Nothobranchius furzeri: one gene and its partners. The protein of the gene in region 3 interacts with the protein of the main gene of each other region in a biochemical or structural test. Links are inferred from orthologs where the notes say so. Each region holds a gene or a part of one and is shown on either strand. Other genes may lie near its edges.

The links.
Region 1: the proteins of erbin (region 3) and kcna4 interact in a test that uses a peptide from one of them, tested with the Homo sapiens proteins (3 studies listed by BioGRID and IntAct, with this or other methods). The link is inferred for Nothobranchius furzeri from reciprocal best matches to the Homo sapiens genes ERBIN and KCNA4.
Region 2: the proteins of erbin (region 3) and arvcfb interact in a test that uses a peptide from one of them, tested with the Homo sapiens proteins (3 studies listed by BioGRID and IntAct, with this or other methods). The link is inferred for Nothobranchius furzeri from reciprocal best matches to the Homo sapiens genes ERBIN and ARVCF.

Annotation. Positions count from the first base shown.
Region 1 is NC_091749.1:47,038,508-47,042,262, reverse strand, and holds kcna4 (potassium voltage-gated channel subfamily A member 1), read left to right. Parts: upstream 1-1,225; 5' UTR 1,226-1,413; coding exon 1,414-3,483; 3' UTR 3,484-3,630; downstream 3,631-3,755. UniProt on the Homo sapiens protein: Voltage-gated potassium channel that mediates transmembrane potassium transport in excitable membranes. Forms tetrameric potassium-selective channels through which potassium ions pass in accordance with their electrochemical gradient.
Region 2 is NC_091757.1:31,733,572-31,737,326, forward strand, and holds the start of arvcfb (ARVCF delta catenin family member b), read right to left. Parts: upstream 2,521-3,755; 5' UTR 2,386-2,520; intron 1-2,385. UniProt on the Homo sapiens protein: Contributes to the regulation of alternative splicing of pre-mRNAs.
Region 3 is NC_091746.1:65,230,674-65,234,328, reverse strand, and holds part of erbin (erbin), read left to right. Parts: intron 1-989; coding exon 990-1,111; intron 1,112-3,474; coding exon 3,475-3,645; intron 3,646-3,655. UniProt on the Homo sapiens protein: Acts as an adapter for the receptor ERBB2, in epithelia. By binding the unphosphorylated 'Tyr-1248' of receptor ERBB2, it may contribute to stabilize this unphosphorylated state.

The DNA of each region.
Region 1 (3,755 bases), on a different chromosome or scaffold from region 3:
CGAGCGCCGCCTGCGCGCTGCAGTACACGACACACACACACACACACACACACACACACACACACACACACACACACACACACACACACACACACACACACACACACACACAATGGGAGGGATACAGGAGATAGGTAGAGCTAAAGCGGCAGACAGACAGATGTGTGATGCTCAGACTGAGGCCGTTCCTTTCCGCCCGAACCAAGGTAAACTTTTACCCACCCTCGTTTTCTTCTGCTCGCGGTCGCGTGGAGCCATCGTAGATGCCAACTCGCTGCGTGAACACCTGATTCCCCAGAAGCGGTGCCGCAGAAATTGAGGCTCAAGTGCCAACAGATCCTGTTGAATTGAGACAACACGTCGACATGCACGCAGCCGGAAAAAGTGCCCTCCTCAGAGTGCGTCAGAGCACGGATGCATATGCTGGATGTGGATATGGTCGCCCGTTGGAGACGGAGACGGATTTGTGATTATCACGCCTCACAATCAAGACGAAGGTTTGAGCGCAGAAGAAAATCTGTATCCTCGCCTCCTCATCATCTTCCAACAAATGTGTTTTTAGGAGGGCTGAGGCTCTTTTGGCCCTTTACGGATGTAAGTATGGATGTCAGGATGAAATAATGGTGCTTAGTGAGAGGATTTCGTGCGAAACGTGTTTTGTTAATGCCGTCCAAGCATTAATATTAATAATAATAATAATAATAATAATAATAATAATAATAATAATAATAATAATAATAAGCGTGTGAAGTTTCGTAATATGCACAGCGATCATTAATATTAACACGTCCCTTTCTCTCGTGTTGTTGTCTAAATCCTATCCTCTCCTTTTCTCGCAGCTTCTGAGAGGAAAAGTCATTCGGATTCATCGGAGCTCCAGAATAAAGCGGAGATCCATCCAAATGAAACACAAATATAGATCTCACCTCATAAAATGGCAACCACGGGTGACCACGGAGGATTAAAGGACGCGTTTGAGCGCAAACCCTCGGTCGTGGGGGAATGAGCCACCTGATGGCCACCAGAGAAACGGAGGAGAGACTGTTTTGGTGTCGCTTGTTGACTCGGTGATTTATGAACACATAAAGCGGCGCTGCAAGTTTGACAGAGCGTCTGCGTAACAGGCTATGCCACTGGCCCTTGGATTTGTATTATCCTTATGTTTATATTTTGCTTCTAATGATGTCATAAAATCTTGGGTGCTCGAGCCACGACCATTATCTTCTATCATGTAAGAAGCTACCCAATATGGACCTTTCTGAGGAGTGTTTGTTGTTCTCACTTTCTCTTATTCCCGGGAACGGTTGATGCCTCGTGCCCTCGCGTCTCTGCGCGCGCCGAACTGCAACTTTTCTCCCCTGCTCTGCATCCACACCTTGTCGTGGCGCTTACTGCGCCGCTGATCGACTGAAAATGGAATTTGCGATGGTGGGTGCGGACGGAGGGTGCAACAGTCACCTGCCTTACGGATATGCCCAAGCTCGCGCACGGGAAAGGGAGCGCGAGAGGGAGCGCCAGGCTGCCCAGTCGCGAGCGGCGGCTGCAGCGGCCGCGGCCGAAGGATGCTCTGGTGCGGAGGGAGGAGGAGGAGGAGGAGGAGGTGGTGGAGGCGGTGGTGTAGGGGGGTCCACCTCCACCGCCTCCTCGAGCGCTCATCTCCTTAACAATCGCCAGCATCAGTCTCGCGCCGCCTCCTCCTCCGCGAACATCAGCAGCAGCGCCGCCTCGCGCCCCTCCTCCTCCTCCTCCCAGCATCAGCAGGAACCCGAGCAGCAGCACAGAGTTCTCAGAGAGCGGAAAAAGCAGCGCGGCGTCGGACGGTGGAGGCGCAACCGGAGCACTCTCGGCGGGGACCTGCGCCACTCGGAGCTGGCGCTGCTCGGATCCGAGGAGGACATCATGATAGAGGAGGAGGAGGAGGAGGCCGAGGGAGCGGAGGAAGAGGAGGAGGAAGAAGGGGAGGCGGCAGAGGGGGTTCGAGGCAGCAAAAGGTCGAGTTTTCTGTGCAACATGGATGATGAGGAGACGGTGTCGATCACCGACCGGCGCCCTCAGTCCGGCTACGAGAACGTTTACAGCGAGTGCGGCTGCTGCGAGCGGGTGGTCATCAACGTGTCGGGGCTGAAGTTTGAAACTCAGCTCAAGACTCTCACTCAGTTCCCAGACACCTTGCTGGGAGACCCCGACAAGCGCATCAGGTACTTCGACCCGCTGAGGAACGAATACTTCTTCGATCGAAACCGGCCGAGCTTCGATGCCATCCTGTACTACTACCAGTCAGGGGGGCGCTTAAAAAGACCCGTGAACGTGCCGTTTGACATCTTCTCAGAGGAGGTGAAGTTTTACGAACTCGGCGAGGAGGCGATCCTCAAGTTTCGGGAAGATGAGGGTTTTGTGAAAGAGGAGGAAAAGCCTCTGCCGGAGGACGAGTTCAAGCGCCAGATCTGGCTGCTGTTCGAGTATCCGGAGAGCTCGAGTCCTGCCCGGGGCATCGCGGTGGTGTCCGTCCTGGTCATCGTCATCTCTATTGTCATTTTCTGCCTGGAGACGCTGCCAGAGTTCAGGGATGAAAAAGAGTACCTGCAGCCACGACACAACTCTTCTCAGCCGGACCACGGCTTCACACCCTTCAACGACCCGTTCTTCATCGTGGAGACGGTCTGCATCATCTGGTTCTCCTTTGAGATTATAGTGCGCTTCTTTGCAAGTCCGAGCAAAACAGCTTTCTTTAAAAACATTATGAACACGATAGACATTGTATCCATTTTGCCTTACTTCATAACTCTTGGCACGGATCTGGCGCAGCACCAGGGCAACGGGCAGCACACCATGAGCTTCGCCATCCTGAGAATAATCCGCCTGGTTCGGGTGTTCCGCATCTTCAAGCTGTCCAGACACTCCAAGGGGCTGCAGATCCTGGGTCACACGCTGCGCGCCAGCATGAGGGAGCTGGCTCTGCTCATCTTCTTCCTGGTCATCGGCGTAATCCTGTTCTCCAGCGCGGTGTACTTCGCTGAGGCGGACGAACCCACCTCTCAGTTCACGAGCATCCCCGACGCGTTCTGGTGGGCCGTGGTTACCATGACGACGGTTGGCTACGGTGACATGAAGCCCATCACTGTTGGTGGGAAGATAGTTGGTTCGCTGTGCGCGATCGCGGGCGTGTTAACCATCGCGCTGCCGGTGCCTGTCATAGTGTCCAATTTTAACTACTTTTACCACCGAGAGACGGATAACGACGACCAGCCGCCCGCCGTGGTGGAGAGCATGCCCCCGGGATGCCCTTATTTCCCTGACTTTCTAAGAAAATTCAAAGGTTCACCCTCTGGCTCATCGCTGGGTGACAAAGCGGAGTACATGGAGATGGAGGAAGGGGTGACGGAGTCGCTGTGCGGGCTGGACAAGAGCCCCAGTAAAGGAAACGGCACAGACATAAGCAGGAAAAACAGTACTAACTCTAAATCCATTCAGACTGACGTGTGATTACAGTAGTTTATTATTATTAGTGGTATTGTTTTGTTTTCCAAAGAAGAAAAGCATCTTGTAGAGACACTTTCTGCTCAACAGCAGCGGAATCCCCTCCCCAACCCTCCCCAAACACAGGCTTTACGCACGCGTCAGAGTGCACACAGACACACACAGATTTACGCACACACATACACTCACACATAAACACGAAACTAATTGGCAAGCTCAAAAGTTTTCTCTTGACACAATCATAATCTATAATTTATCTAATTTATTGGTAAATATAT
Region 2 (3,755 bases), on a different chromosome or scaffold from region 3:
CGGGTCGGGGAATGGGTCCTGACTGTTGTTTGTGCTTATGGGCCAAATATCAGTTCAGAGGTGCCCACCCTTTTTGGAGTCCCTGGGACGAGTGCTAGATAGTGCTCCATCAGGGGACTCCATTGTCCTGCTGGGGGACTTCAATGCTCACGTGGGCAATGACAGCTTGACCTGGAGGGGTGTGATTGGAAGGAACGGCCCGCCTGATCTGAACTTGAGTGGTGTTTCGTTATTGGACTTCTGTGCAAGCCGCAGTTTGGCCATAACGAACACCATGTTAGAACATAAGGATGCCCATCGGTACACTTGGTACCAGGGCAGCCTAGAACGCTGTAATCCACCCGCTTCTTAAAAAAACGAGTTTCGACCCCTCTCTCCATAGCAGCTTCAGACCCGTCTCTAAACTTCCGTTCATCTCCAAGATCTTGGAAAAGGTTGTGGCTAAACAACTCACAGCTGCTCTAGATCAACATAACATCTATGATAGCTTACAGTCAGGTTTTTCTAGTGCTCATTCTACTGAAACAGCTCTTCTTAGGGTCTCTAATGACCTTCTGACTCACAGTGATGCAGGGGACTGTTCTGTTCTGGTCCTGTTGGACCTGACTGCAGCCTTTGACACTGTTGACCATCACCTGCTACTGGAGAGGCTGAGAGACTGGGTAGGCCTATCAGGATCTGCTCTGGAGTGGTTCTCCTCGTATTTCTCTGAGCGCTCCTTTTCTGTGGCCGTCTCCAAGTTTAGGTCCTCCACCACCTCTCTTACCCATGGTGTCCCACAAGGTTCTGTGCTGGGGCTTCTGCTCTTCCTCCTCTATCTGCTTCCTCTTCAGCACATCCTGAGCTCCTATTCACTCTCTCTCTTTCTTAACATTTTTTCTTTTAAATCCCAATCGTCTATTTTTGCTAATTTTAAATATATTTTTAAACATTTTCTAAATGCTTTTTTATGTTTTTACATTTTTTGTTTTTGTGAAGCACCTCATGATTTTTATCTTGAGAGGCGCTATAGAAATGATATTTTCTTCTTCTTCTTCTTCTTCTTCTTCTTCTTCTTCTAAGACAAAAATTCATTTAAAAAAGGCTATTCTTAGAACAGATATGAGGTGTATAGGGTATATCTATACCTTTCACTATTTCAAATTATTGTCTATTATTATTTTTATTATTATTAATAATATTATTATTGCACCAGGTGTGTCAGCTCTACAGAGTTCCCCCCAGTCTGAAGTTGCAAGTGAAGTATTGTGGCCACAGGGCAATAGGGGCTGGGTGGCCTTTTGTTAACCCTGTAAAGGGTCATTTTAAGACATCCTGGCTCAAGAAAAGAATTTTAAAATATGAAACTGGTACTCAGTATACATTTAAAATGCTAATTACTGTTATTTTTCTACATATTAGAATACATGATTGCAGAAATATTGACTGGAACTGGCTTCTTTACTGTCATGACATGTGGACTGATTGTCATACATGAAAACAAGTAAAAAAAGCTCTTAAGAGACTTCTGAATGGCTTTATGTGTGATATATATATATATATATATATATATATATATATATATATATATATATATATATATATATATATATATATATATATATATACAAGGCTAAGTGAATGCAAAATTGTTATGTTCACTGTTAATTGTTGTAATTGCATTCAAGCAGGGTGCAAAAAGATGACCAATAGTTTCATCTGAGATTGTTCAAATATGGCTGTTTTAAAGCTTTGGGGCAAACTCACATGCACATGGGACGAGAATACCACAAGACTATTGGGAAAAACAACTCTATCGATCAAGTCAAATGAATGCAGGCCATTTTCCAAATAAGGTAATTACAGGAGGGAAACCGGAAAAATCTCCATGGTAACTCATTCACTAAGTGGAGGACCAAAACAATGGCAGCCTGATATGATTGGCAGTCCGCTCCATCACATCTCACAGCAAAAGATGTGATGGAGCGGTAAATACTAAAAACGCATTCTATTTCGTTGTTGGCTGCAATGAAACATTTGAATCTCCCGTGGCGTTTCTTTTTAATTAAAACGTAGCAAATAAATCATGGATGTGCTTTCTGATTTTCATCAATTCCTTGTTAAGGAAGCCTGTATTTCATTTGGGATTTTCCATAGCGTTATTTTAAGATCGCACTGATTTTGTTTTAGTCACACCCACCTCCTACTGATGTGCAATATGGCACAACTTGATATTCTAATCGCCCAAAAGAAGAATTAGCCTAGACGAGGAATGCTCTGTGTGTGTGTGTGTGTGTGTGTGTGTGTGTGTGTGTGTGTGTGTGTGTGTGTGTGTGTGTGTGTGTGTGTGTGTGTGTGTGTGTGTGTGTGTGTGTGTGTGTGTGTGTGTGTGTGTGTAACAGCTACCTCCGGCTCTTCTGGTCATCGCTGTCTTCTCAGTGGAAGCGCGTCCGTCCCGTGATGAGCGCCACTCCGAGCCTCAGATAAAGACCGTTATTTCGCGTGGAACGTGGCTGCTGCAGGGACAGTCTACTTTACGAGCGCCAAATATCCAAACACATACGTCAGATTCGCCTTGCTCTCAGACCGAGCACCACGTGCGACAAGTGAGCAAACTTCACAGGTTTCAAAGTTATATTTAAAGCGTGTGTCGTTTAAATTGAGCGTTGAGTTGAATGAAAAGCAGAGCCGCCTTTATCCCCTCTCTCATCAACAAAAGTGCTGGATGCTGTCGGTCCCGGGCGTGTCTCCGCCCCTTATCCAATCCAACTGAATTTATTTAAGAATGGTCTAATTTACCTTAGATTTGTTTACTTCTTACTAAAACAGCTTACTTCCTCTAAAATTGTGAACAAAATACAAGTGTTTATTAAACTGCCTAATGTTTTTAAAAGTGCACAGAATCAATAACGAATTTTAGGTCTAAGAGGATATCACATACATTAGAGCTAAAATTCATTATCGATTCTGTGCACTTTAAAAAACACTAGGCAATTTTATATATGTGTGTGTGTTTGTGTGTGTGTATATCTGTGTGTGTGTGTGTGTGTGTGTGTGTGTGTGTGTGTGTGTGTGTGTGTGTGTGTGTGTGTGGTATTTTAATTTTTTCCCCTAATATTTATTTCAATGACTGCAACACATTTTTTCTCCAAACATTAACAGTGAGCTTTTATTTTTTAGTAGAATAACCGGAAGTGGTTTCTTTTCTTTTTACAACTACTCGGGACTTCCGTGCTTTTCCAGCCAATCACGTCTAAACTCTGAGCCCCTTTGGATGTGCGCTCGTTTCTGTTATTTAATGTCCCGACGTGGGCGGACATAAGGCGAATTTCCAATGAAAAGTCACTGTGTCGTGAAGCAGAGAAACGATTAATACCAAATCGAGGAAACCGAATGTAAACACTTCCTTTTGGTTTGTCAACAACGGGAGTAAAGGGGCGTAGGGTAAGAACAACTAAGAGTGCGTTTCAGTAAGTAATATTCAAACAATATCAATAAAGTAGCTGAAAAGATCATTTGTGTATATAATTTTGTCGCTAAGTTCTGGTAAGAAGCTAAACTTCGTTGTATCTATCGCTTGTAAGTATGCTAACGTTAGCTATTTCATTCATAGGTTAAGTTTTTACTTAAATTATGTTTAATTTTTAACCAAAATTAGTTTTTACAACTATGGACTCAGTTACAAATAATAGACAGCTCAAGGTGACGGGGAGCAGCTCAAATTAGTTCGACTTGGACACATGACATCTTAAGAGGCTACAACCGTTTACCATCGT
Region 3 (3,655 bases):
TTCACTACGAGACTTGTTTTCTCTTCTACATTTGTTCGTGTTTTGACTGATTAAGGATCACTTATGTTGAAGGCTGCAGCATCAGCATCACCGAGCGAATTAATTCAGGTTTCAGTTAAAAGGACTTGGTTTTGGTGTTTTAAAGCTTTTCCAGGACTGAAGTTACCACGTTTGTTAGCACAAGCTTATAGGTGACCTACAAGAATCCCTAACTGCATCTTTAATGAGAGACTTTGTCACCCGAAGCTGCAGAAGAAACCCAAGTCTCCATCTTGTTGTCAGGCTCCCAGCTGTTACTTTGCTTTGGGTTTCCATTACACCGGCCGGTTTGCACTGATCCTGTTGCACCTGAGCTCTGCAGTAATTAGGTTCAGGATCTGAATGTTTGAGCTCAAGAACGAGTCTGTCACACCACCACTGAAGCTATTATCTGTGAAGAAATCTGCTCAACTTCCTGTCAACAATGTCCTCTTATTATTATTCTTGTTTTTAACAATTGTAGCATTTATTTTTCATGCTGCATGGCTTTGGGTTTTTGTTTTCAAACTTGCTGCAATGAAGAGATGATCCCAATATCCTCCATAGGTTTGTTTTCTGGTAGCAAGAGCGAAGCTGAGATGAGAAATCGGATCTTGTGCAGAAGTGCGTAAATGTTGCTAAATGGAGGCTTTTAACACAGGAAACCACACGCTGTCTCTAAAGGATACGAGACACCTGAGAGAGCCTGTTTGTGCACGCCAGGGTCACACCATAACTGATGATTTTGGAAGCCCTTTCTTAATAACGGCGGCCTTGCAGCTTGGTTATTTTATTTATTAGCTTTGCTGTATTTTCTCCTCCAGGTTCTGTCAAGGCTTTTAAATTTTCTCTAACCTGTTTATCGCCACCTGGTGGCCAATGTGAGGCTGAAAGAAACTGAATGCCTAGTTTTTGGATGGTCTGGAACTGTAATGAGTTCAACAATGGGTTATATTATTGTCTGGTTTTAGTCATTCCTCGCTCCGACTCTGAAAGTTTCAATCCAGCTCTTTGGGAGGAGCAGCGGAAGCAGCGAGCTCAGGTGGCCTTCGATTGTGACGAGGACAAGGATGAGAGGGAAACGCCCCCAAAGGTCAGTGACGCACATGTTACCGTTTGTGTTGTATGTTAAATGTCGCCCTAATAATGAGGTCAAACAGAAGGAGAGAATTAAATTTAAGAAGATGGATTGGTTACAGAATGACAGAAGAAAGTCAAAATAATTGGCGTGATGTACAGATTATGTTCAATATTAAAATAAATGTAAAAATAGCTGAAACAAGGCAGATGAATGTATTTAGGTAAGAATACAAGCAGCAGCGCTAACAGACTACAAGCATTGAGTTTTAAATCCAGGAAGGTTTTTCTTTTATTAAACCGATAACTCAAACAAAAGGATTACCGGGGATGTGTTTTAGCTTCTCAAAAAGGAAGTGGGTGCAACGCTGATGGTGTACTCCCAGTCTGTCTCCAGAGTAACTCGTTGTTTAGTCACGGCTGAAAAGAAACAGAAAGTTGCTTCACAGGTTGAGCAGGTTGAAGGGTGTGTGGGGTAATGCCGGGGGGGGGTTGTTGATGGTCATACAAATGGGTCTTAAGTTACTAATTGTTTACCAGCACAAATGGAACTCCCTCCCTCCCCCATAATGCATTTGTAGCAAGATATCGTCACACCAGTTAGAGTGACTACAGCTCAGACCGGCTCAGCAGCAGCTCTTTCCTCTAAACAGTCCCAGTACCGCGGACGTCTGTTTCCCAGCTTTTAACCAACAAAATTACAATAGAAGAGACATCAAATATTAATGTTTTTACTATACAGATGTCGATTTAAAACTAGATAACTCAATTCTATATTTTTATGTCTATTATTTTACATAAAATAGAATAAAAACATTTTACTGGGAAGGACCCTAAATTTGGGCTATTAAAGTAGAAATCTGGAGTTTTTCCTCCAATGGTGGAAAGATGTATTACACCTTAAGCCGTTCAACCCCCTTCCATATTTAGAAACACCTCTTACATGAACACTTCTAGTTGGCCTTCTAAATATTTACACTTTGTATTGTGAGCCCAAGGACCGAAAACCCATAGATGACAAGCGAACTTGTGGTCTAGTCAGTGAGTTGCTGGTAGATGAACGGAGAGTGCGCGATGAGGTATAAGGTAGAAGAATGTTTGTTAGGTAGAGGGGTGCACGTTTATTTAGAGCTTTTAATGTTAAGAGAATTTTAAATTGGATATGAGAATCAACTGAGAGCCAATGCAACTCAGGGTGAACCGGTGCATTATGTTGAGAAAGCGGAGTCTTGGTGATAACAAGTCGCTGAGTTTTTCACCAGCTGTAGTTTATGCAGGAGTTTCTGAGAGATACCAGAAAGAGAGAGCTGCAGTAGTCAAGACGGGATGTGGCTAATGCATTAACTAAATTTTGGCATCGGTCTGAGTAAGAAATGGTCGTAGCCGACTGATAATGCGCAGTTGCTAAACAAACAACAGTTTTGACGTGAGCTGTGAAGTCAAATTACTATCCAAGATGACACCCAGACTTTTAACCTGTGAAGGAGATGGGATGTTATTGTCAAATAGAAAAGAGGGGAAAACTGAGTTAGTAATCTATAGATTTAGTTCCGACAAGAAGAATATCTGTCTTGTTGCTATTTAGTTTTAAAATATTATGAGAAAACCAGGTTTTTATCTCATTCAGATAGTTGGCCGGTGAAGTAATGGACAGACATTTGGGGAGGAAGATAGATATAGCTGGATGTCATCAGCATAACAGTGGAAAGTGATGTTATGTTATGATTCCTAAGAATATCCCCAAGAGGGAGAATGTAAATAATAAACAGAGGGCCCAGGACAGAGCCTTGTGGGACCCCGCTGGAGACAGATGTGGAGCGTGAGTTAGGCGACTTAATTTTAACAAAGTGCGAACGGTCCGATAAATATGAGGTGAACAAAGATGAAGCGACACCGCGGACTCCTATAAAAAGACGCTGTAGAAGAATTAAATGAGAAATGGTATGGAATGCAGCTCATAAATCAAGAAGAATTAATAAACTAATTATTATATTTTCACCATTCCAGTTTCAGCGCTATGATTTCTCTCCTGATTGCAGCTTTAAAAGGAAGCAGAAACTTCTCCAGTCAGAAGTAGAGATGTAGTTGTTGGCCCCAAATCAAGGTGATGTCACTGTAGTGTCTGTAAAATGTTTATATAATGAGTCAGACCTATTCATAAGAAAACTAAAGCTGTCGGTAAGGTGTTTGGGGAAAAGGCTGGAAGATCTAGTTGTGGCAGGTTTATGACCCAGATGGGGTCCTGACTTTGGCTCTGGACCGAATTCTGTTTGTTCAGTAAGGCCACAGGTTTGTACTCAGAAGCACATTTAACGGTGATGGAGGAAGCAGAAGTCTAGTCATCCAGGCAGCAGATTTCTGAGCGTTGTTCTTTTCCAGGAGGGAAACCTGAAACGTTACCCAACCCCTTACCCGGACGAGCTGAAGAACATGGTGAAGACGGCTCAGTCGGTGGCTAACAGGCTCAAGGACGATGAAACGAGCGACGAGTCAGGAAAAGAGTCCAAACCCGAGAGGAACCACATTGGAGTGCAGGATGTTGGACTTAAGGTCAGCTTTA